Rhinolophus ferrumequinum: one gene and its partner. Each later gene encodes a partner of the first gene's protein in a complex. Links are inferred from orthologs where the notes say so. Each region holds a gene or a part of one and is shown on either strand. Other genes may lie near its edges.

Region 1 (10,504 bases):
GCACTCACCTATTTGTGACTCAACTACGCGTGTGACAGAGAAAGATTCTACAACAGGAGAGTAAGGAGTGACTCCCAGGTGTGCCCTCTGAAAGCAAACATAACATTTCAGGAGTACAGAGGTGTCATGAGGCAGACCAAGGCCACGTTCAGGGTAGTCATGAGCTGCAGAACGGGCAGGCAGGCTGGGAGAAGCCCAGCAGTCACCCCGGCTACCTCCTCCTTTCACAGGTGGGGAACTCCCAGAGGGACGTGGAAACTGTCGTGGGCCCCTCCACTGCTCAGGGTCACAGTCAGATCCGACCGCATCTGCCACAGCGGCCACTGTCACCTCGGTGTGTGCTTTTGTGTTCTCTAACCCTGTGACAGGAATGCTGTATCAGGAGCCGATCCTGCCCAGCAGCCAGGAATTCACACCTAGGAGGACGAGACGGGTGCTCTGGGCACAGACCTGTGCTGCTGCTGAGCACCGCACGCTTCATGAGTCAGCTTCACACCCACTGAGAGCTCGGGTTCCATAGTTACGAAGAATGCTGGAAAACCTGTGACACACCGTAATTGCTATATTTTCAATGTAATTGTCATATGATTTTTATCTGGGAGGTTAACTCAACAGTACCAATTTTATCGCTGGCCTCTTTATTTTCATAGCTAATGGATCTTTCTACGGGGAATCAGAATTTGGCCGAAATGAAAGCATCTTATTAGGTTCTTGATTCTCCTTATTGGAAAATTCATTGAACCGATCATGTGAAAAGGGAATTTGAGGTGAAATGCCTGTCACCTTGGAGTCTGTGACAGAGAAGGGAAGGAAGGATAGGCACACACTGTAGTAGTCAGAACAGGTCATGTTATAGCACAGAAACAAATAAGCCCTGAAATGTCAGTGATGTAACAGTTAGAGGTGGGTTGTCACTGATGCAAAGTCCACCGTACGTAGGTTGTCCTAGTGTCGCCTACTGGCAGCCACGCCATCTGGAACGTGTGCCTTCCAAAGTTGCTGCATCAGAGGACGATGGAGGGGAGGGAGACGCATACCGGGCCTGGATTGCATCAGCCGGGAAGTGGAACACAACGCCGTCGCTTCCTGCTCAGGGTGCACTGGCCAGACCCAGCCGCGCGTCGCTAATTAACTGCAAGGGAAACCAGGGAGTGAAGACACACATTCATCCAGTAACCCCACCAGCGAGCGGATCTACCACAGGCAGGGCCCCCGGATTTCAGGAAAGCAAGTACTGAAACGCTCCAAGTATGTATTTGCAAAGAAACAGATCCATAGGTGCCTTGATAAAAGAAAGACGGGAAGGAAATGCACTGCAATGATAACAGTGAATGCCCCTAGGCACTCAAGTGTTTGTGGGTTTTATTTTCTTCTTTATATTTTTATATTTCCCTAGCAATATTAAATAAATGTTTGAGAATCCAAAAAAATGTAATTTTTTGAATTGAGAAACAAGTTCAGACCAGAAATAATTACGACTCCAATGAGGAAAATGACTCAAAAGGAAAGGGAATTTCTTTAAAACGCACTTCTGATTAGATGAGCACAATTAGCCAGCAAAAACAAAAGTGAGAGATGGGCCCAGACATGCCGCTTACATACAGGAAGCTCTCTGGTGAGATCGGATTTTTACAGCATGTCTGTACAAGACGGAGAGGAGGGCACAGGGCCAGGCCAAGGCAGAGGGGCACAGCCCTAGGAACCACTGCCTCAAGAGACGAAAGGGAATTTAACCAAAACACGCAAATTAGGAAACAAATGAGCTAAGGCAGAGAGGGGATCCACTCCAGGCCACAGCACTCGGATCTCTGCTCTCCGAGGCCCAGAGCACGTGCCCAAAGTGCCTCCAAAGTGAAATGGGCAAAGGCCTTGGTGGGGTCTACATAGGCCCTGCCCACCTGGCTCTCGCCCTCCTCCAGACCTCACCTCCTACCCCTCAGTCCCTCCCTCTCTGGGCGACAGACTCGTGCCCTACGTTCATTAATCTGACCCCACGACCTGTGCTCAGCCTGGATCATTCCCTCTTCCTTCCCCAAGGAAGCCCCCACTCCCAGTTTCAGAGGAGCCCCTCTGTCAGATGCCCTCCCCACTCTCACCTCGGTGTGTGCTTTTTTGTTTTTTAATTTTTTTAGATAATTTTTTTAGTTTCCAATTATAGTTGACATTCAATATTATATTAGTCTCAGGTGTACAGCATAGTGATGTACAACATTTATATAACTTATGAAGTGATCATCCTGCAAAGTCTAGCACCCATCTGACACCATACATACCGTGCTTCCCCGAAAATGAGACCTAACCGGAAAACAAGCCCTAGCATGATTTTTCAGGATGACATCCCCTGCACTTAAGGCCTAAAGCATCTTTTGGAGCAAAACTTAATATGAGACCCGGTCTTATTCAGGGGGAAACACAAACACAGGAGCTATTACAATATTATTGACTGCAGTGCTTGAGCTATCCCCTCCATCCCCATGACGACTGTGTAACTACCAAAGTGTACTTCTGAATCCCTTCCCTTCTTCACCCAGGCCCCCAACACCCCTCCCATCTGGTAACCATCGAATGCTCTTTGTATCTATGAGTTTGTTTCTGTTTTGCTTGTCCGTTTATTTTGTTCTTTATTTCACATATAAGTGAGATCCTATGGCATTTGTCTTTCTCTGTCTGACTTACTTTACTCAGTACAATACCCTCCAGGTCCATCCATGTTGTTGCAAATGGCAAGATTTCATTCTTTTTTTGGGTGAAAACTATTCCATCGTACATACGTACCACCTTTTCTTTATCTATCCATATATTGAGGGGCACTTAGGTTGCCTCCACATCTTGGCCGTTGTAAACAATGCTGCAATGAACATACGGATGCACACATCCCCTCGAAGTAGCATCTGGGTTTCTTCAGATAAATACCCAAAAATGGGATTACTGGGTCCTTCTTTGTCTCTTGTTATGTATAGCCTTTGTTTCAAAGTCTATTTTGTCTGGTGTAACTATTGCTACCCCAGCTTTTTTTTTTTTCAATTCCCTTTTCATGCGATATCTTTTTCCATCCCTTTACTTTCAGTCTGTGTGTGTCTTTCGATCTGAAGTGAGTCTCTTGTAGGCAGCATATGTAAGTGTCTCGTTTTCTTATCCATTCAGCCACCCTATGTTTTTTGACTGGAGCACTTAATCTATTCACATTGAAAGTAATTGTTATAGATATGTCATTATTGCCATTTTTTAATTCATATTTCTTAAGTTTTTTCTTCTTCTTAACGAAGTCCCTTTTATGCTTCTTGCAGTACTGGTTTGGTGGTGATGAATCCTTCAGTGCTTCCTTGTCTGGGAGCAGCACGTGCTTACCTACTTCACTGTCAGCTCCCAGGAGAGTGGGAACCATGGCCAGTTTGGCTCACTGAATGGGCTTTCATGCTCTTTAGCTCCTTTTTTACTTATGGGTGAGAAGCCATGGGAGAGATTATTTCTTCACCTTTTTACTGAAGAGCCAGTGTCTCTAGGAAGGAGGACATTTTGAACTAGAAATCAAGTACAGTGAGTTTTCATTTTTTGGCTCCCATTCTCATATGAGCTCTCCATGGGACCTTAGGACCTTTTTACTTCTCTCTGAGCCAGTGTGCTCTTTTATAAAGTAAGAGTTTAATCTAGATGGCATCTGAGGTGCCTCCTTCTCCAACACAGCATCCTCTGGAAGACTAGCAAGACAAAGACTCTGGCGTCTGAATCCCATTTCGGCCACTTGGTCATCTTGTGCCCTTAGGTAGATGGCTTAATCCCTCCATCCAGACTTCCTCTTCTGTGAAGTGTGGTGAGAATGCTAGCTCACAGATCTGATAGAGGATTAAACAACATGACATACTACCCTGTGTCCCCGAAAATAAGACCGAGCCGGACCATCGGCTCTAATGTGTCTTTTGTAGCAAAAATTAATATAAGACCCGGTATTATATTATATTAGGCTCCTCACCTAACCACCTCAGCATCCTCAGCGGTGAATGGGACAGAAAGCACTTTGTCTCGTCCGAGAAGCGAGGCGTCAGCGACACAGTGCAGGGGACAGCTCTGAACTGTGAAGCCGTTTCCAAGGAAAAGCATCCACAAGGGTCTTTGGACCCAAGACCTCCGTGGTAACAGATTCCACTCACCCACCAGCACACACCTCATTTCGCACATCCACTCACCTGCCAGAACACACCTCATCTCACACATCCAATGCTGTGAATCATGAAAGAAAAATACTGACGCCTAGTAAAATGCCCACCACTGAATAAGTGCACAATCATTTCTTCTGAATGATTTAGGTAAAAATGACTCAAGAAGGGTTTTCGAGGCCTCCTGAGAGTCAACAGGTGGGCGCATGAAGCCACCCAAAGTCCCTGTCGCAGGACAGCCCCAAACCCCTAGGGGCTCCAGTGGAGAGCCACCTGGTCCATTCCTCTCTCCGTTCCCTGGAGAATGGTGGCCTGGTGCTGAGGCTTCCTCACAAGTCCACGTTGGTTCACACTCACAGAATAGTAGGCTCCCCCAAACCAAGCAAGGACCCCTCACCCACATTGCTCTTCCTTTAGAAACCATTTCCGGGTGGACGGGTGGTTCAATTGGTTAGAGCGCGAGCTCTGGGTAACAGGGCTGTCTGTTCGATTCTCACATGGGCCAGCAAGCTGCACCCTCCGCAACTAGAATGAAGTCAATGAGCTGCCACTCAGCTCCCCGGTGGCCAGATGGCTCAGTTGGTTGGAGCGCAGGCTCTCAACCACAAAGTTGCCAGTTCGACTCCCCCTGCAACTAGCAACGGCAACTGGACCTGGAGCTGAGCTGCGCCCTCCACAACTAAGACTGAAAGGACAACAACTTGCCTTGGAAAAGTCCTGGAAGTACACACTGCTCCCCAATGAAGTCCTGTTCCCCTTCCCTCCCGCCCCCCAAAAAACAAAAAAACAAATCCAAAAAAAACTATTTCCAAGAAGGTTACATGAAGGACAAAGTTAGGTAAGACCCCCAGACTCAGTTGTCTGTCTAGAAAAACATTTCAAACTCTCCTTGAAAAATTCCACTACCACACTGGGGAATTCTCTACAGCAGAGATGTGCCAATGGGCGAGATGGGTGTTGCCTCTGGTGGTGGAACCAACGGTATTTTCCCAGATTACCAAAGAGGTGCTACATCTCCTTTTCAGAAGCTAAACATCCTCACAGTTTCAACAGAGGCCTTCACCTGAAATGTCCTCCCTGTTGAAGTCTCAAACCAATAGTTTCATACGACCTATTTTTCCTTCAGTGAAACGAGGTGTTACAGTGATGACGATACAGGTTCCCAAGTGCGGAAGCCATCATTAGTGCTGGTAGTATTTTTGTTTACTTGCACCCCTCTCCATCACACCCCTCGTTCACAATGAGCTCTGCAACTGCTTCTCAGTAATAGTCCTCACAAGACCTCCGGGAGGCAGCATGACCAGCGCTAACACTTCTGTGTTGCCTGAAGGGGAAGCACAGACGTGAAGAGCTGGTTGCCATCACCGTCCATACAGTGATCGCACTGACACCAAGCTCTGCCCCCATCTGGCCCTACGTCCACGATGCCAGCTCTCTCTGTGGCCCTTGTCTTTGATGACTGAAACAGCAGATCTATAACCAGAGGACCTGGGCTGGGCACAGAATCAGAATTGGAGACTTTGTGCCTTGGATAGACCTTAATGACCATCTACCCAAATCCACTGTTTTGCTGGACAGGACCAGAGAAAACACTTTACCCAACTCACACAGGCCATTTACTCCCAGTCCGGTGCGTTTGGGCTTTTCATACCATGTTGCCATGCTTCACCTTTCTTCCTCCACGCTCTTCCATCAGTTTCCGTTGGTTAAAATTTACATGGCTTCAACTCCAACCAAGAAAACTGAAACATTTACATGCTGAGTCTGGTGTTCTACCACCTGACCTGGGCTGGCCTCAGAATGCTGAAAAAGTCTGATGCAGTGTCCTATTTTGAGTCCCTTCCTTTCCCCCCAAACTCTGTCCTTGAAGCTAGCCACTGGCTGCGGCGGGGCTCGGCCCACCCTCCATGAGTCTGCAGCTACCCTCACACACCTGGGGTCTGTCCTGGGGTTCTGGTGGAGGGACACTTAGCTGTAACATGGCCAGGGCAGAGAGCTCTCTCCTAAGCTGTCCCTTTGTAGGAAGTGGGTTGACGGGCTGCAGAGGAGCAAAAGGATGAGAACTTGTGTGGCTGACATCACTTTCCTGTCCTCTAACCTGCCCCGAGCAGGAGGTTGTCCCCACACTGATTGATTTATGCTTCTTCAAGCAAACCCACACCTTAGCTGCCAAGTACCTATCAATTCATACTTAGTTGTGGGGGCCATAAACAAATTAAGCCAAAACTCAAACTACAGCTCCTAAGCTGCTCTCCAACCCTAGTACCCATAGTTCTGATTTTAGCAGTTCTCCTTCCTCTCTCACCATATATTTTTAGAAACTTGTTACATTTCCTGCTTCTCTTCCCTTTCTCTAAAACTGTGTTTATAACTGTTTAGAGCAAAACAATAAATAAATGAACCAAGTCAGAAACTGCAGGAATATCTGCAAATAACATTATCAAGTTTATAATCTGTCATTTGGCCAGTATAAGGTTGAATGAACGTAAAAGAAATGCAAATCAGGATCCTTCCCTGTAAATTCCCATGACGCACCCTGGCCACACCCACTGCACAGAAGACAAAAGGCCCAGGAGCGGAGGCAGCCGCTTCTTCCAGCAGAGCCGACTCACCTCCCGGAACCGGAGTCGGCAAAGGTACTGTCCTGGTCACATTTTGGCTTTTAAAATATTTTTTGTTTCTCTCCTTGACTGTTATCTCTCAAACTGCCTTCTCTGAAGCTAAAGCCTCTTCCCTCCTGGTTCTGTGTGTGAGTTAGAATCACAATCGGATTTCAGAAAATGATCCTTCCTCTTGGTGGGAACTGAGGGACGGGGAACTGCTTCCACAGGTGGCCGGTGGTGCAGCCAAGCCTTCCCTCAGAGGGAACTCCACTTCCAAAAACTGCCGAGAGAAAACTGGAACTTCCCAAGTCTGCCTCTCTCTTGCATCTGAGTGAGGCAAATGCCTCCTTCTTGTGGGGTTTTTGAACTTAGCCAAACTTGACTGAGTGCCTACTGTGTGGGCACTAAGGGATACCAAAATTCTAAAAGAAACGTACAGTCTGCTAGAGGAGGCAGACACCTATGCAAATGGTTCAAGGGAGTGAAAAGAATGGGGAACATGCTGAATGTGGTTATGCCATGAGTTAAGTTGCCCAAGAAGCACAAAGCAGAGGTGGTTCCCCTCATAGGTGTCTGGTTCAGAGGTCATCAAGGCTGACAGCCGCTGGTGTTCTCCGTTGCAGAAGTCAAGATGGCCAAGGTCCCCGACCTCTTTGAAGACCTGAAGAACTGTTACAGGTAGGAAATGGACTGTGATCTGATGAGGGGACCCAGGCTCATTAGAACCCACCCAGCGAGGAGGTGCAGTGACCAGCATGGGGCCAGACCGGCAGACGCTATAGAGATGGTCCCACCTCCAAAGTCAGAGCAGGCTCAGCAAAGGCTTAGGGAAGCCAAGCATCCAGCATGTTAAACGGATGTGACGTTGACAGGAAGACGGCCATTACCAAAAACGTGTTTTTTAAGGCCTGCTGAGTCCTAGCGAATTTCAGCGTCTATTCATACACAGCCTGGGCTGGGTCACATGCTCGGTCTGGTACAGTAAGGGGTTCTAAAGGCCTCTTAGAGAGAGACCACCCTCAGGAAACTCCTTGCTCTCAATCTGGAGAGGAAAATGGCTCCACAGCAATCCGAGCACGCGGGAGCTCATACACACTCAAACCTAGTCAGATGTAAGAGGAACGTAAGTGAATAAAAGGTGTAAATTATAAAACACTTTCAACAACATGTTCTCATTACCTGCTTTACCTGCTAATATGCACTAACACACGCTCGGCCATCCAAGTGTTGTTTGGGTGTTTTGCCAGGTATAAATTACTAAATCCATTTTAGTGAGTACATGAAAGCAATGAGTAATGTAGTCTATTTGGTCAGAATTTAAATAAGGTGCTTCGGCAGAACTTTTCTCTTGAGGAGCTGAAATCCAATTACAACTCCTGTTTGTAAGCCAAGCACTGTTTCTGTTGATAAAGCACAGGTAAAGTTCAAGGCCTGTCCTGAAGGTGACTAATTCCAGGTCAGCGAGGTACAGATTACTCTATGTACGTATGTACAGAAGTCGTTCATTTTCAAAGATGGCAGGAGTGTCCGTGTGTGCACACACGTGTCCCAAAGCTAATGAGGTTATTAAAATACATTGCCTGGTGGCCATTGTGATCTAACAGAATGACATTCTCATCATCTTGTTTGACAGTGAAAATGAAGAATACAGTTGCGAAATTGACCAGCTCGCTCTGAATCAGGTAAGCAAATGGCTGCTTCTTAGGGTGGCTGTTCTGACAGTCATATTTTCTCCACGGGAGGACAGCAGCTATGGCTTCAGTCCCATAGGCCTCTGCTGTGCCATCTCGAGATGTCCGGAGACATGCATGTCTTCATTATAAGTGAGGCAGACAGGGCTGATGGCATTCTCCACACTTGCCGGATTTTCCCAGAATAGAGCACAACTACCCTGCACCCCAAGGACTGGAGTCTCCCTGCTTCATCAGATGCTAGTTTGCCACCCTGAGACAGAGCCTTCGGGCCACTTCTCCAGGGGTCTGTCACCTAAAGATATGTTCTGGTCATCCTCTCCGATGCCAGCTCCAGACATCAGAGACAACCCTCCAACGTAACAGCCCAGGAAGCCGAGGTGGACCAAGCAGGCCACTCACAAGTACTCCTATGTGTCTTTGGTACTGGCTCTAAAAGCCATTCCCAGAGGAGTATTTCTAACATGTCTGAGCCCTGTCCTAAGCCTAACTTCCTAAGGGGGAACTATTGGAGAGTCTCAATGTTAGCCTGTTTCACTGTATCTCATTTTTGAGTCTGCAGATAAATGACAAAGACTGGCCAAGAGATGGTATCCTTCCAGGGAAATGCTAGGAGGGAGGAGGAGGGGATGACTGAAGAAAGGTGGGTAGCCGAGACCCCACTGGCGATCCTTCTCACTATGCCCGTTGAATAAAACTCCCACAAAAGGAGTCTCATCCTATAGCCACAGACAGCCTCTCAGTCTCCACCTCCCTTCCTCACAGAAATCCTTCTACGACGCAAGCTATGACACACTTCATGAGGACTGCATGGGTAAATTTACATCTCTGAGTACCAAGGAGACCTCTAAGACTTCCCAGTTTACCTTCAAGGAGAGCGTGGTGGTGGTGGCAGGCAATGGGAAAGTTCTGAAGAAGAGACGGCTGAGTTTCAACAAGGTCCCCACTGATGACGAGCTGGAAGCTGTTGCCAATGACCCAGAAGAAGGTAAGGGGCCATGTGCCGTGATATCCTTGTTTGCCATTTTTAAGCAAATGGGCACAATAGAGTAGAAGGGCAAATAAAACCTAGAATCAGGGTGACAGGGCAGCCAGGCATTAGTCTAGTAACTATCAGGAAGGAAAATTAATTTCTATGCTGCAATGGGGAGAAAGCAGCCTGGCCTGGGTCTAAGATACTTGCTCACATGCTCATTTCACGGCCATACTGTAAAGGTCATGTGACTTCGAGCCCTTCAGCAGGAAATGGTTACACACTGTTGGCGGGTGACACTGACAAGCCATGTTGCTTCTCATGCTAACTGTGCCTCATTGGGAAAGTTACTGACCTTTCTGTGCTTCAGTTTCCTCTACTGAAAAATGCACACGATCAGAGCCCCCTACCTGTTGTGAAGATTAAATGTGTGAATTCCCGCAAGCTCCTGGACTAAAATAATGCCTGGCATGTAGCAAGTACCCAGTAAACGGCAGCTATCATTGTTGCATGACTACCATTGTTGCTACCACGTGTTAATGGTACCAGCACCACCAGTTTACTAATGGCCGCATTATCTTCACAACAACCACTGCCACCAAGAGCTTAGCAGTGCCCACACGATGGCCCACTCCTCAGTCTTTCCCGCATGTGTAGCACTGTTAGGCTCATATGTACCCAATCTGTGTCTAGCTTTACTCACTTAGCAGCATATTGGGGTCATTAGAGTGCCAGTTTTCAGTACCATAAGCCATGTGACAGAGACCATCCAAACCGATGAACCTTCATTTCTACCACCACATCGTTTCTTACAATGGCCTCCTAGAAGCAGTGATGCAGAGCTGGGGGATGCGTGAGGCTGTGGGTGCCTCCAGCATTCAGAGGGGCGGTGGGCACAGAGACCTGCTCCCTCAGGGACACACACAGTTCCCCACATGTTCGCTTCTTGTCTCAGAGCGCTTTCCTTTCAACGTAGGTAGGGTCAGCAGCAGTCTCCCCAGTTACTTAGAGTCCTCCAAACAACCAAAATGACAAAGTTGCACAAATAATCTCTTTCGGCGTCCAGGTCTAAAGAGAATGTTC
Region 2 (10,185 bases), on another chromosome or scaffold:
GGAGGCAGAGCTGAGCAAGAGGGAGTGCTACATCTAATTAGGGGACTCTTCTGCTGCCTTCCTCGAAACTGACAAACACTGCGGCCTCCTGCTGCCTATACAGTAAGCCCCTCAACGAGGCAGAGTTAGAAACACCCATTTATCATATGTTGAGCGCCTACAATGGACAAGCGCTACACTAGGAGCTTTATAAGCACTGTCTCGTTTAATTCTAACACAAATAGCATGAAGTAGGTTGCATTATTCCCGTTCTAGAGAAGAAACAAAGAGACAGTTGGTGGTTAAATAATGTGTCCAAAGTCACACAGCTAGAGTGAGCGTGGCTGCGCCCAAGCTTGAGCCCAGGTCTAATAAAACCTCAGAAGCTGAAGGCTTCTCCTTCAGCCTGTTTTTCTGCATCCTTCCCTGCAGTCGAAACTACTGAGTGTGCTCCATACTCTTCTTTCTGCCGTGCTTTTATTCACGCAAACGCCTCCACCCAAAATGTCTACTTTCATCCTAAGCATCTTCCATTGGAAACCTATGGCTCAAGTGTCGCCTCTGTGGAGAAGCCATCCCACTTCAGTCAGGTTAATGTTCTCCCAGAATCCTTCCTGGCACCTCTGTTAAGGCTCTGTGTGCTTCCTGGTGTCCAAAATTTACTTTCAAGGGTCAATCTTCCCTTTCCAGACTGTGAGCCTTGTTATGGCTGTATCTACGCAGGTCCTGGTCCTTGACAGATGATCACTAACTCGGGGCATTTTGGCTTGAACCAGGAGTAGGGGAGCCTGGAAAAACCCAGGAGAGAAGCCTGGGACGGGAAGGAGATGGTTGGGCTGAGCTGGGGTGAGCTGGGGAAAGGGCAGGGAGGGGCCCCCGGTGCCCCCCAGCCCTTGCCCGCTCCACCCAATCCCCCCACCCTGTACTCACATCCAGGAAGCCGGAGAGCTCCGTCTGCAGCAGCTCTTTCAGCTCCTTCTTGCTCAGCTTATACTTGTCCCCTTCCTTGCCCGAGTGGGTGTGGAACACGTTGATGAGAGTTTCCATCGCCGTCTCCAGCTCAGACCCCATCTCGAAGCTCACCTATGCACCCCCCACCATGGAAGTGAGCAGGGGACCATGCTCAGGATATCTGGGGTTGGGGTGAAGGGAGCCCTCAGGCCTGGTCCTGGTCCCACAGCCCAAATAGCCATGAGATTGGAGCTCCATCACAATGTACCTCTCAGTGGGACCCTAAAATGTAGGGGAACCCAAACAGATCTAAGTCCAGACCTGTTCTGTGTGTCCCTCCATCCAAACCCCCGCCAGAGGGAGTCAGAGTTTGGGGCATGGAGGGGGAACAGCTGGAGCAGGGCTGGCTCTAGAGGCCTGCGTGGACCCTGCAGTGTCTCCTGGCTGGCTGCACAGATACTGACGAGGGTGTGGCAGGCAGGCAGGCAGGCAGGGGTGGTCACAGGACCCAGCCAGGCTTCCTCTGGCTCTATTTTTACCCTGAACCTTGCCTGCCTAGCATAGCCAAGCTCTGCGGTTGGAGGTGGTGGGCTGGGCTCCTGTCTACAGACTTGACTCTGTTGCCCACTCCTGGCAAGGAGTCAGTCTGGTGCCCTTGGTCAGCCTGATGGAGAGGGTGGCAGCCTGAGTGGGCGGCCCAAGGGTCGTGGGAAGGAAGTCTCATTGCCTCTGAGCTTCCTGTCAGCAGATGGGGCATCTTTTGGTCCCTCAACTCTGTTCTCTCCTGAGCATGGCACTTCCCGGGGGTATGTCTCTAGCTTGGTTCCTCTTACTTTTCCACAGAGTTAGCCCTTCCATGGGGTGGTGGTGGGAAGGGACAGGAATGTCTGAGACTTTTCCCTGGAGCCAGAGCTTCTAGGGAGGGGAAGAGGAGACCCATGAGGACTTGTCACTGCTAGTAGCTACTCCCACCCTCCAGGCCCAGTCTGGTTGGAGTGGGGACAGTGGCAGCAGGGAGAACGGGGTTGGTATGTATTGGGGGAGATAAAGGGCCGAGTGCATTAGGTCCTCTGAGTTCAAGGGGCTGGGAGACAGGGGGAGAAAAATGGAGGGGTCTGTTGAGGAGAGGGGACTGCCAAGCCAGGGGGCCTCTTTCTCTCTGTCTTGGGACATTCAGCCCGACCACGGCCTCAGGGGGCAGCTCAGGTGTCTTAGATCAGGTGTCCCCATCCTTCCCTAGGCCTGAGGGGCTGGACAATGGGCCCTGATCAGATGACATCCCAGCTCTTCAATGGGGCCCTTGTGAGTGTCACCTGAACTCCGGACATGAGACGTGGTTGTCACAGAGACATGGGGGAGATGGAACCCAAGCCGGGGCTGATGGAGGGGATAAGGGGCCTGAGAGGGAGGGGCCTGGTGGCTCAGTTACCGGCCCCATCCAGGACGGGCACCTGGGGGTTGCCTGGAGCTCGCCAGCAGCCAAGCATTTCATGTGGGGGCAATCCTGAGAGGACCTCGGCAGGGAGGGGGCGGGTGGGAAAACAAAGAGGAAAGAAAGAGGAAAAGAGGAGTCTGGAGGTCTGGGCCAAGAAAGGGGAGGAGGAGAAAGGGAGAGTTGGGAGTGGGTACCACACCCGAGTGCCCCTCTTCCTGATGTCACATGGCCCATGCTCTACCAGACGTCCCTGGGCCCTGAGCTCTTGGCAAGGCTGGGTGGGGGAGGCAGAGCAGCTGCTCCATTTGTCCTCTCCAGCTTATCCCACCGGAAGTGAGCCAAGCGCTGGGACCCCTCCCCAGCTCCTGGGAGATTGAGGGAGGCTTGAGAGGGCACTGGAGGGCTTCGTGGTAGGAGAGCCTGATCTGGAAGCTTGGTGGCTGGGCTCCTCATTGGCTTCCTCATTCTCTGAGTTTCTAGATCTCTCTTTGACCTTCACTTGTCTCCCCTCACCACTTTCTAAACCCTGTCTCCCCCAAATCCCATACTGCTGTCACTCGAACTCATCCCAACCCTCAGTATACCACAATGCCATCGTCCCCAGATTCTTGGAGCCCCGCTGAAGTCCCTTTTCCCCCAGGCTGGCCAGGGCAGGATGGGGTGGCATACTCACTGTCAGCCTGGGCCTGAGGTGGGAGCAGGTTCTGGACAGACAGACGAGGCTGCAAATGTGGCTCCCAGAGCTGTGTGTGGAGACCTGTCTTCAGCCGTCCTTCCCCCGCTGACCCCCCTCCCCACTGGCTCCACCCCTTCACAGATAGACACCCAGTGGGGCAAGGGGCCAGGAGTGGACAGAGGCGCCCTCTGTCTCCTGGGCTGGAACAAGCTGCCCTGTGTCCTCTTCTCCAGCCTCGGTTGCCTCCCCCCTACTGCTGGGCCCCAACAGGCAGGCCCTGGAGGAAGGGAGGTGGGAAAGGTCCTGGGAAGGGCACTGAGACACCCCTTACCCCCGCAGTACCCGGTTGTGGCCAGCTAGGCAGGGAGGGCTGGAGGCCGCTGGGAGCTCTCCGTGAATAATTCGATCTTGGGAGTCACCCTCCGAAGTTTCAGTGTGAGACCCCACTGAGGGATTTCAATCCAGGGTACCCTCGATGGGGAGGTAGATAAAAAAGGGGCCACAGACTGAACCCGACACGCTCAGGGGAGGCTGCATGGCAGGCTGTACAAACTCAGAGACAGGGAGTAACCACACAGGATGGTCGGAACATCAAAATTCCTAACTAAAAGCTTGTCATGGCAGGTAGTCCCATCCTAGGCCTGTAGCTTTCTTGATAGAGGTTAATCTTTACCTTAAGGGAGCCTGACTATTTCCTTTTTGTATCTAAGATAACATAGTTACTGACATTACTTTAAAATGTCAGAGTAATCTCCTTTTCCATACCCCCAGGGCACAACCTCCTACAGAGAGCACAGACCATAGAACCCTTCACTGTTACCTTGTCCTTCCCACACACACACACACATGCCATCTCCATGTGCTGTAAATGTTACTAACTATCCTGCACCCACAATGTGAAAGAACTGTGTGTCTCTCCCTTTTACTTTTTATCCAATCCCAGAGGTCCCCGCCCCCTTTGCCTTCTCCCGGCTCCCTAATCTACTGCCCATGGATTCCATGTAACCCCCTCCGTCTCCTCCTTGGATTCTAATGTATGAAATCAGCTGCAAAAAAGCCATTCTCGGGAACATTTTCTCAATCCGTTGAGATTTTGCCTCCTCCAGGTGATTGTCATCAGTTTGGTTCAGTTAAACTCATAAAAATGCTCTACAGGTTTGGAAATTTCTATGTCAACAGGGGTCTCGGTCTGATTCCCGTATTTGCGGGGTCTTGGTTTGGGATCCTCTGAAGGGGTCTTGGGCTTCAGGGTCCTTTGAGAGATCTCGTTCAGCGATGTGGTGTTTCTTAGCTTGGGCTTCTCAGTCCTGAGTGAGCTCCTGCAGTTGGTTCTTTCAATCAATCTGCAGTCACCTCCCGCAGGGCCCCCCTCCCCCCCACCCCCGCTCCCCCACCCCCGCTCCCAACATACACACTCCTGATTACATGTTGGGGTGTGGTGGGGCAGAGGCTCCCCATATTGGGGGGGATAGGACCCTCGGCCCTGGCTGAGTGGAATCTGGCAGCTTCAGGCAGATCCCCACCCTCACCTCCCGACCAAGTGGGGGCACCTGTGGGCTGGGCTGAGGGGCTGGGGTCCCAGGCGGGTTTCTGGGCGCTGGGAGCTGGGCGGGAGGGGGGCGCCAGGCGTGATTGGACGTCTCCTCCCTCCACAATCAACCAGGAAACTTGAAACCTCCGAGCTTGGGAGGGGCCCTGGCCTCTCCGCCCAGCGCTTATAAACCTCAGCCCCGCGGCAACCTCGTGTTGCACCCCGTCTCTGTGACTTCCCCTGGTGAGTCGTGTCCCCCTAATTCTGGGGGGAACCCGGGGAGCCCTTTTCCTCCCTGGACTCCCAGGTCCCGCCCCTGGAGCCAGCTCAGACTGGGATTCAGAAAGTAGCTTGGGGAGATCAGACCGCAGTCCCCGGGGGAGTAAGGTGGGGGTGTGGTGGGGGGAGGCAGAAAACGGAGGATGAGTTGGCATGTCCCTTTCCTCCAGCCTGTCCCCTGGGGCTGTGTGTGCCGGGACCAAGCCCTTTCTGGGTGCCGAGTGCCGGCTGTCAGCAAGGCCCAACCAGGACCCCTGGCTCGGGGAGACAGGGGCGGGAGGTCTGCAGGATCCTGGGCTCAGCACCGGCCCTGCGGGGAGGGAAGCGGAGAAGGACCACCGGGAGGCTGGATCTGTCAGACAGAGCCAGCCTTGACCACGGCTGGGCCTTTGCCAGACCAGGGCTGCTCTCCTGGGAGGAGCAGGCGGGTGGAGACCCAGGTCCCCACACAAACAAGCTTTGGAGACAAACAACCTCCTGACCTTTTGAGGCTCGGTGAGATTCCAAGCAAGGGCCCTGTGGCTGAACCCTACAGAGGGGCCAGGAGACTGAGAGGCTTCCTAACGGGACCCTCAGATTGAAAACCTCCTCCCGGACAGAGGGGTCTCCAGACTGAGGGACCATCACAGAGGGGTCCCTAAGACATAGGCATTTCAAAAGGACCCCTAGATTGTGAGATCTAGAGAGGAAGGGGTTTCTGGAATGAACACTCCTTCCGTCACCTGCACTGAGGTACTCCCTGCCCCAAGCTTCATCCCTGTCCGCTTGTTCCTTCTCCATAAAGCCTCTGCCTTCTCCAGGCAGAAGCCAGAGATAGCAACCCAGGGCAGGGGCACTCTGGCCTGTCCTGAGTCTCCCTTTCTCTCCTCCCCTCTCCCTCCCACCAGTCAGCCCGTGAGGACATCAGCTCCACCCTAATGGCAGCAGAGCCACTGACTGAGCTGGAGACGGCCATCGAGACAGTGGTCACCACCTTCTTCACCTTTGCAGGACGGGAGGGCCGTAAAGGCAGCCTCAGCATCAATGAGTTTAAGGAACTGGCCACTCAACAGTTGCCTCACCTGCTCAAGGTAGGTGGGGGCCTCTGGGCCCGAGATTTTAGGAGACAGTGGCTGTGGGACATTGTGTACGTGACGTGATATTGCTGGGCACGATAATGTGACCACAGATGTGTTGTGGAGAAAGGTGTGGGTGGCTGCATGTGTAAGTGGTTCTGGGCGTTCTTGCCAAGTGTGTGTGTGTGCGTCTCGGTAACAGTGTCCGTGTGAGGGGAAGTGTTATGGGGCTTTGTGCTGCATCAGATAATGCTGCAGGGTTCCTGTGTCTGCGCTGTGCCTCTCTGATCTCATTTGCCTCACAGAGGACTGGACCCAGAGCTGGCTTCCCGGACCGTCAGAGCTAGACGGAGGCCGAGAGAAAACATATCCACATTCCTCATTTCACACATAAGGAAACTGAGGCCCCGCTGTGGGAAGGGATTTGTTAAAAATAAAAACAGAGCCACATTTATGGAGTCAGGATCTCAGGGTGGGAGGGACCTGTAAGTGATCCGTGGTTACTTCCCACCCTCTCTGGGAATCCCCTCAATGCGCCTGGCTGGGTCCCCCCGTCTCTCCTCAGGGGACGGAGTAGGGATTTAAATTTTATCCACTTTGGGTTGGGCATCATCCCAGGCGGCTAACAGTTTCTTTTACATCCTTCCTGAAAATTCACAGGCACATAAAAGTGTGTGAAGATGGGTTTAAAAACAAAAAACAAGTGTCTCTGAAACTCACAGTTTTTTTTTTTTTTTTTGAAACTCATAGTCTTTCATCAGCAAAATCCCCTCCTCCTTAGGCTTCCCTGACTTTTCCCATCCTCTCCTCACAGGAAACGCCAGGCTCTCTCCTGGAGGTACAGCACTCCCAGTAGCCTTGCCAAATAGTGACTGGTTTTGAATAATATTGAATGTCAACTATAATTAAACATATATATGTATGTATAGTCACGGGATGTGGGGTACAGCAGAGGGAATAGTCGATGGAATTGTAACAGCTGTATACGATGGCAGACAGATAGTAAATTGGGGGGTTATCACTTTGTAAGGGGTGCAAATGTCTAACTATTTCATTGTTTTGTACACCTGAAACTAATAGTAATATTAAAATATAGTGGCTGGTTTATCTTCCTCTGTGTGTTGAAATGCAGGAAGTGACCTCTGCGTTTCAGTGCTGCTTCCGGATCTTAGTTTTTTTCTTCTTCCTAAGATGCCCAGCTCCTTGGAAGCTCAGGTACCACCTGCCTTCCTTATAGCTCTTCAGTTCCTGGCTAACTGTTTTCCTTCTCATCACTGCTGCTGTCATTATCCTCAGCATTCCACAGAGACAGCTCAGCCAACACCTGGGCCTTTCAATTTCTTGAGCTCATCACTTCCAAAGATTGTCGCCCTGCATCTCAGGATTCCACTCCTCTGCTCATGCTTCAGATCTTGGTATTACCAAAATAACGCACCTCTTCCAAGATCTCAATTTCTAACTTCCTTTTCTCTGTCTTCCATGTCATTCCAGTTCTGTTCCTCTGTAGGGGAGTGAAAAGGTAAAAATGAATTTTCCTCCTACCTTTCTAAGTTCAGGCTGGAATAATAATCAAATTGACGAGAGACGGATTGACAGGAGAAAATACCCACACTTATTAAGTATGTACACACAGGGGTTCCATAAGAAGATGGGTCCCAAGGACACTGGGCGGTTGAGGCTTACATACCATTCTGGAGCTAAGGCGAAGGTGGTGGGAGTGGTTTGGAACCTAAAAGGGCAGGAAGGCCGTTCCCACAGAGATGGAAGAGCAAATGAATGTCTGCTGGGCCAGCTTTCACATGGGACACAGAGGGGACTTTTACCCAATGGGCCTTGCTCATTTTTTCGCTATCACACACTAGTTCATATTAAGCTATGGTTATCTGTGATGACAGCTCCCTTCCTGAAGCAGGTCCTCTGTCTAAATTCTTCTAGGCAGGTAGAGGGAAGGCCAAAGGTTTTTCCTGAGTCTCGTTTCTTGAAAATAACCAGCTTAGAGTACTCAATATCCATCCCAAAAGGCATATTTTGGGGTGCCAACTCTGCTTCCCTCACCTGTTTCTAGCTCCTCCACTCCAGCATTTTCTTGACTCCCTATTATTTTTTCCATCTTCTATCTTTATGTCTTGTGTTCTCATTTCACCTCTTACTTACCTGGGTTCTAAGGCTCATCATTCATTATAACCACTCCCACAACTCCCTTGATTCTGTTTCTTTCTGTCCTTGTCTTTTGGCACAATCCCAACCCAGCTTAAAGCCAACATTTCACCTCCAGTAACTTGTTGGTTGAATGCACCATTCTGTACCTCCACTTCTAGAGCTGAATCTGGCTGGAGAATAAGGCACCGCCGTGTTCATTTGTCGCACTTTAAATCTATAATCACAAACCCCTCAGCGATGTCTGCCAATTCTACATTTCCCTGGTCGATTCATTTACCAGCTCTTTCAGATGATTATTTCACAACTTTTCCTTTCTCCTCAAACTCTAGTACCTCTTTCCACATCCCTCTCACTGAGAAGGAAGTAAGAGTAATCAGGAAGCTTCTATGTGCTCCTTCACCCAGATCCACCAACACATACCCTGCCTTTCATCCCTGTCTGCTCCCAAGGCCATACCCTTCACTGGTGCCCTGGATCTCATCCCTTCTCACCTACTTAAAGACTTTAACCCTTTTAGTTCTTCCCCCCTCTCTTGCATCATCAAAATTTCCCTTTGTACTGGATTGTTCTGGTCAGTTTCCAAATATGCTGTAATATCTCCCATCTTTAAAAAAAAAAACAAGGAGAAAAAGAAAAGAAAAAAAAAGAAAAACTCCCTTGACCCTGTAACTCCCTCCAGCTATGCCTTATATCTCTGCTTCCCTTTTGTAGCAAAACTTCTCAAAAGCATAGGAGTTATTTATACTGACTGTCTCCACTTTTCCTCTCCGGGTCCAGAATGCTCACCCCTGCCCCTCGTCTAGGTATTTGCTAGGCTTATTCCTCATGTAACTCAACTTTTTGCTCAAATGGCAAATCCTTTGCATGGCCTTCACTACTGAATACAAATATCACCTCCCTGTGCTCTATTCCTTTACCTTACTTTATTTTCTTTCAGAACACCTCAATCACAACTTGACCTCCACTATATACGTATATGTTACCAAGAATGTAACTCCTGTGAGGAAAGGAGTCTGATCACTCTTTTACCTCTACTTAGAGCAGTGTCTGACTCCTAATAGGTGCTCAATAAAATATTGAAGAGTGAGTGAGAGAGTAAAAAAGTTTTAAGAAAAGCATAAATTGTTGAGTGAGAGAATGAATAAATAAATGCATTTTGCCTACTGTTCTATAAATAGTTTTTTAAAAATGTAACAGTTGTTGGGAGGGGAAAATTTCCCATTTCCCTCTCTTAGTTCTTTTGGTTGTTCTAATAATCACATTGACATGAGACAGATTAACAGGAGAAAAATGACCAGATTTAGTTACGTATGTACATACGGGGGGTTCCATAAGATTATGGGGCCCAAGGACAAATCGGGCAGTAAAGCTCAGGTGCCATCTTGAGCTGAAGAGAAAGTGGGGGTTGCAGTTTGGGACTTCAGTGGGAAGGAAAGCAGTTAACATGGAGCTAGAAAAGTAAATGTTTGGTAAATAAATGTTTGCTGGGCCATCTCTAACCATGGGACACAGAGGAATTTTACCCAATGGGCCTTGCTTGGTTCCTCCCTGTCTACCACACACTAATTCATATTAAACTATAGTTATCTATGATGACAGCTCCCTTCCTGGAGCAGGACCTCCATCTAAAATCTTTGAGGCATGTAGGGGAATAGTCAAAGGTTTTTCCTCGGTCTTTTGTTTCTTAAAAATAACCAGCTTAAAATAATCAATATCCCTAAAAAGGCACATTTTGAGGTGGCCGACTCTGCTCCCCCTTACAGAGCATATAGGATATTTTCCCATTAAAAAAAAAAAATGAAGCACTGTATTCCAAGATAGGTTAACACACATTTATGTAGCCTACCCTCTATTGACGGAGTTTTCTCTTATGCCCATTTTCCCCCTTTTGCAAACATCCTTGTTTACATATCTTTACAAACTTGAGGGAAGCTATCTACATAGGTTAAATGCCTGAGAGATGAAATACTGCCTCAAAAGGCGTGTATATTTTTAATTTTATAAATGTTACTAATTTGCCTCCCAACAGGGTTGTACCACATTTTATGGCCACCAACAGTGCATGTGAATATCTGTTTTCCCACGTCCTTGCCCAAACTGGGTCTTATCAAGCTTTTAA

What was found. The genes of interacting proteins can lie anywhere in the genome.
Region 2: the proteins of IL1A (region 1) and S100A13 are in contact, whole or in part, in an NMR structure (PDB 2L5X), measured with the Homo sapiens proteins. The link is inferred for Rhinolophus ferrumequinum from reciprocal best matches to the Homo sapiens genes IL1A and S100A13. Residues at the interface, in NP_000566.3 of Homo sapiens: Asn148, Gln150, Tyr151, Thr194, Ala195, Gln196, Asp197, Leu203, Leu204, Lys205, Glu206, Met207, Gly216, Ser217, Glu218, Thr219, Asn220, His239; in NP_001019381.1 of Homo sapiens: Met1, Arg25, Gln26, Glu27, Gly28, Arg29, Lys30, Asp31, Ser34, Asp68, Ser69, Glu70, Lys72, Phe73.

Annotation. Positions count from the first base shown.
Region 1 is NW_022680356.1:81,221-91,724, forward strand, and holds the start of IL1A (interleukin-1 alpha), read left to right. Parts: upstream 1-6,715; 5' UTR 6,716-6,790; intron 6,791-7,380; 5' UTR 7,381-7,388; coding exon 7,389-7,435; intron 7,436-8,390; coding exon 8,391-8,439; intron 8,440-9,213; coding exon 9,214-9,436; intron 9,437-10,504. UniProt on the Homo sapiens protein: Cytokine constitutively present intracellularly in nearly all resting non-hematopoietic cells that plays an important role in inflammation and bridges the innate and adaptive immune systems.
Region 2 is NC_046305.1:52,554,378-52,564,562, reverse strand, and holds the start of S100A13 (protein S100-A13), read left to right. Parts: upstream 1-5,418; 5' UTR 5,419-5,553; coding exon 5,554-5,583; intron 5,584-5,738; coding exon 5,739-5,921; intron 5,922-10,185. Other genes in the region: S100A1 (protein S100-A1), read right to left, coding at 910-1,050. UniProt on the Homo sapiens protein: Plays a role in the export of proteins that lack a signal peptide and are secreted by an alternative pathway. Binds two calcium ions per subunit. Binds one copper ion. Binding of one copper ion does not interfere with calcium binding.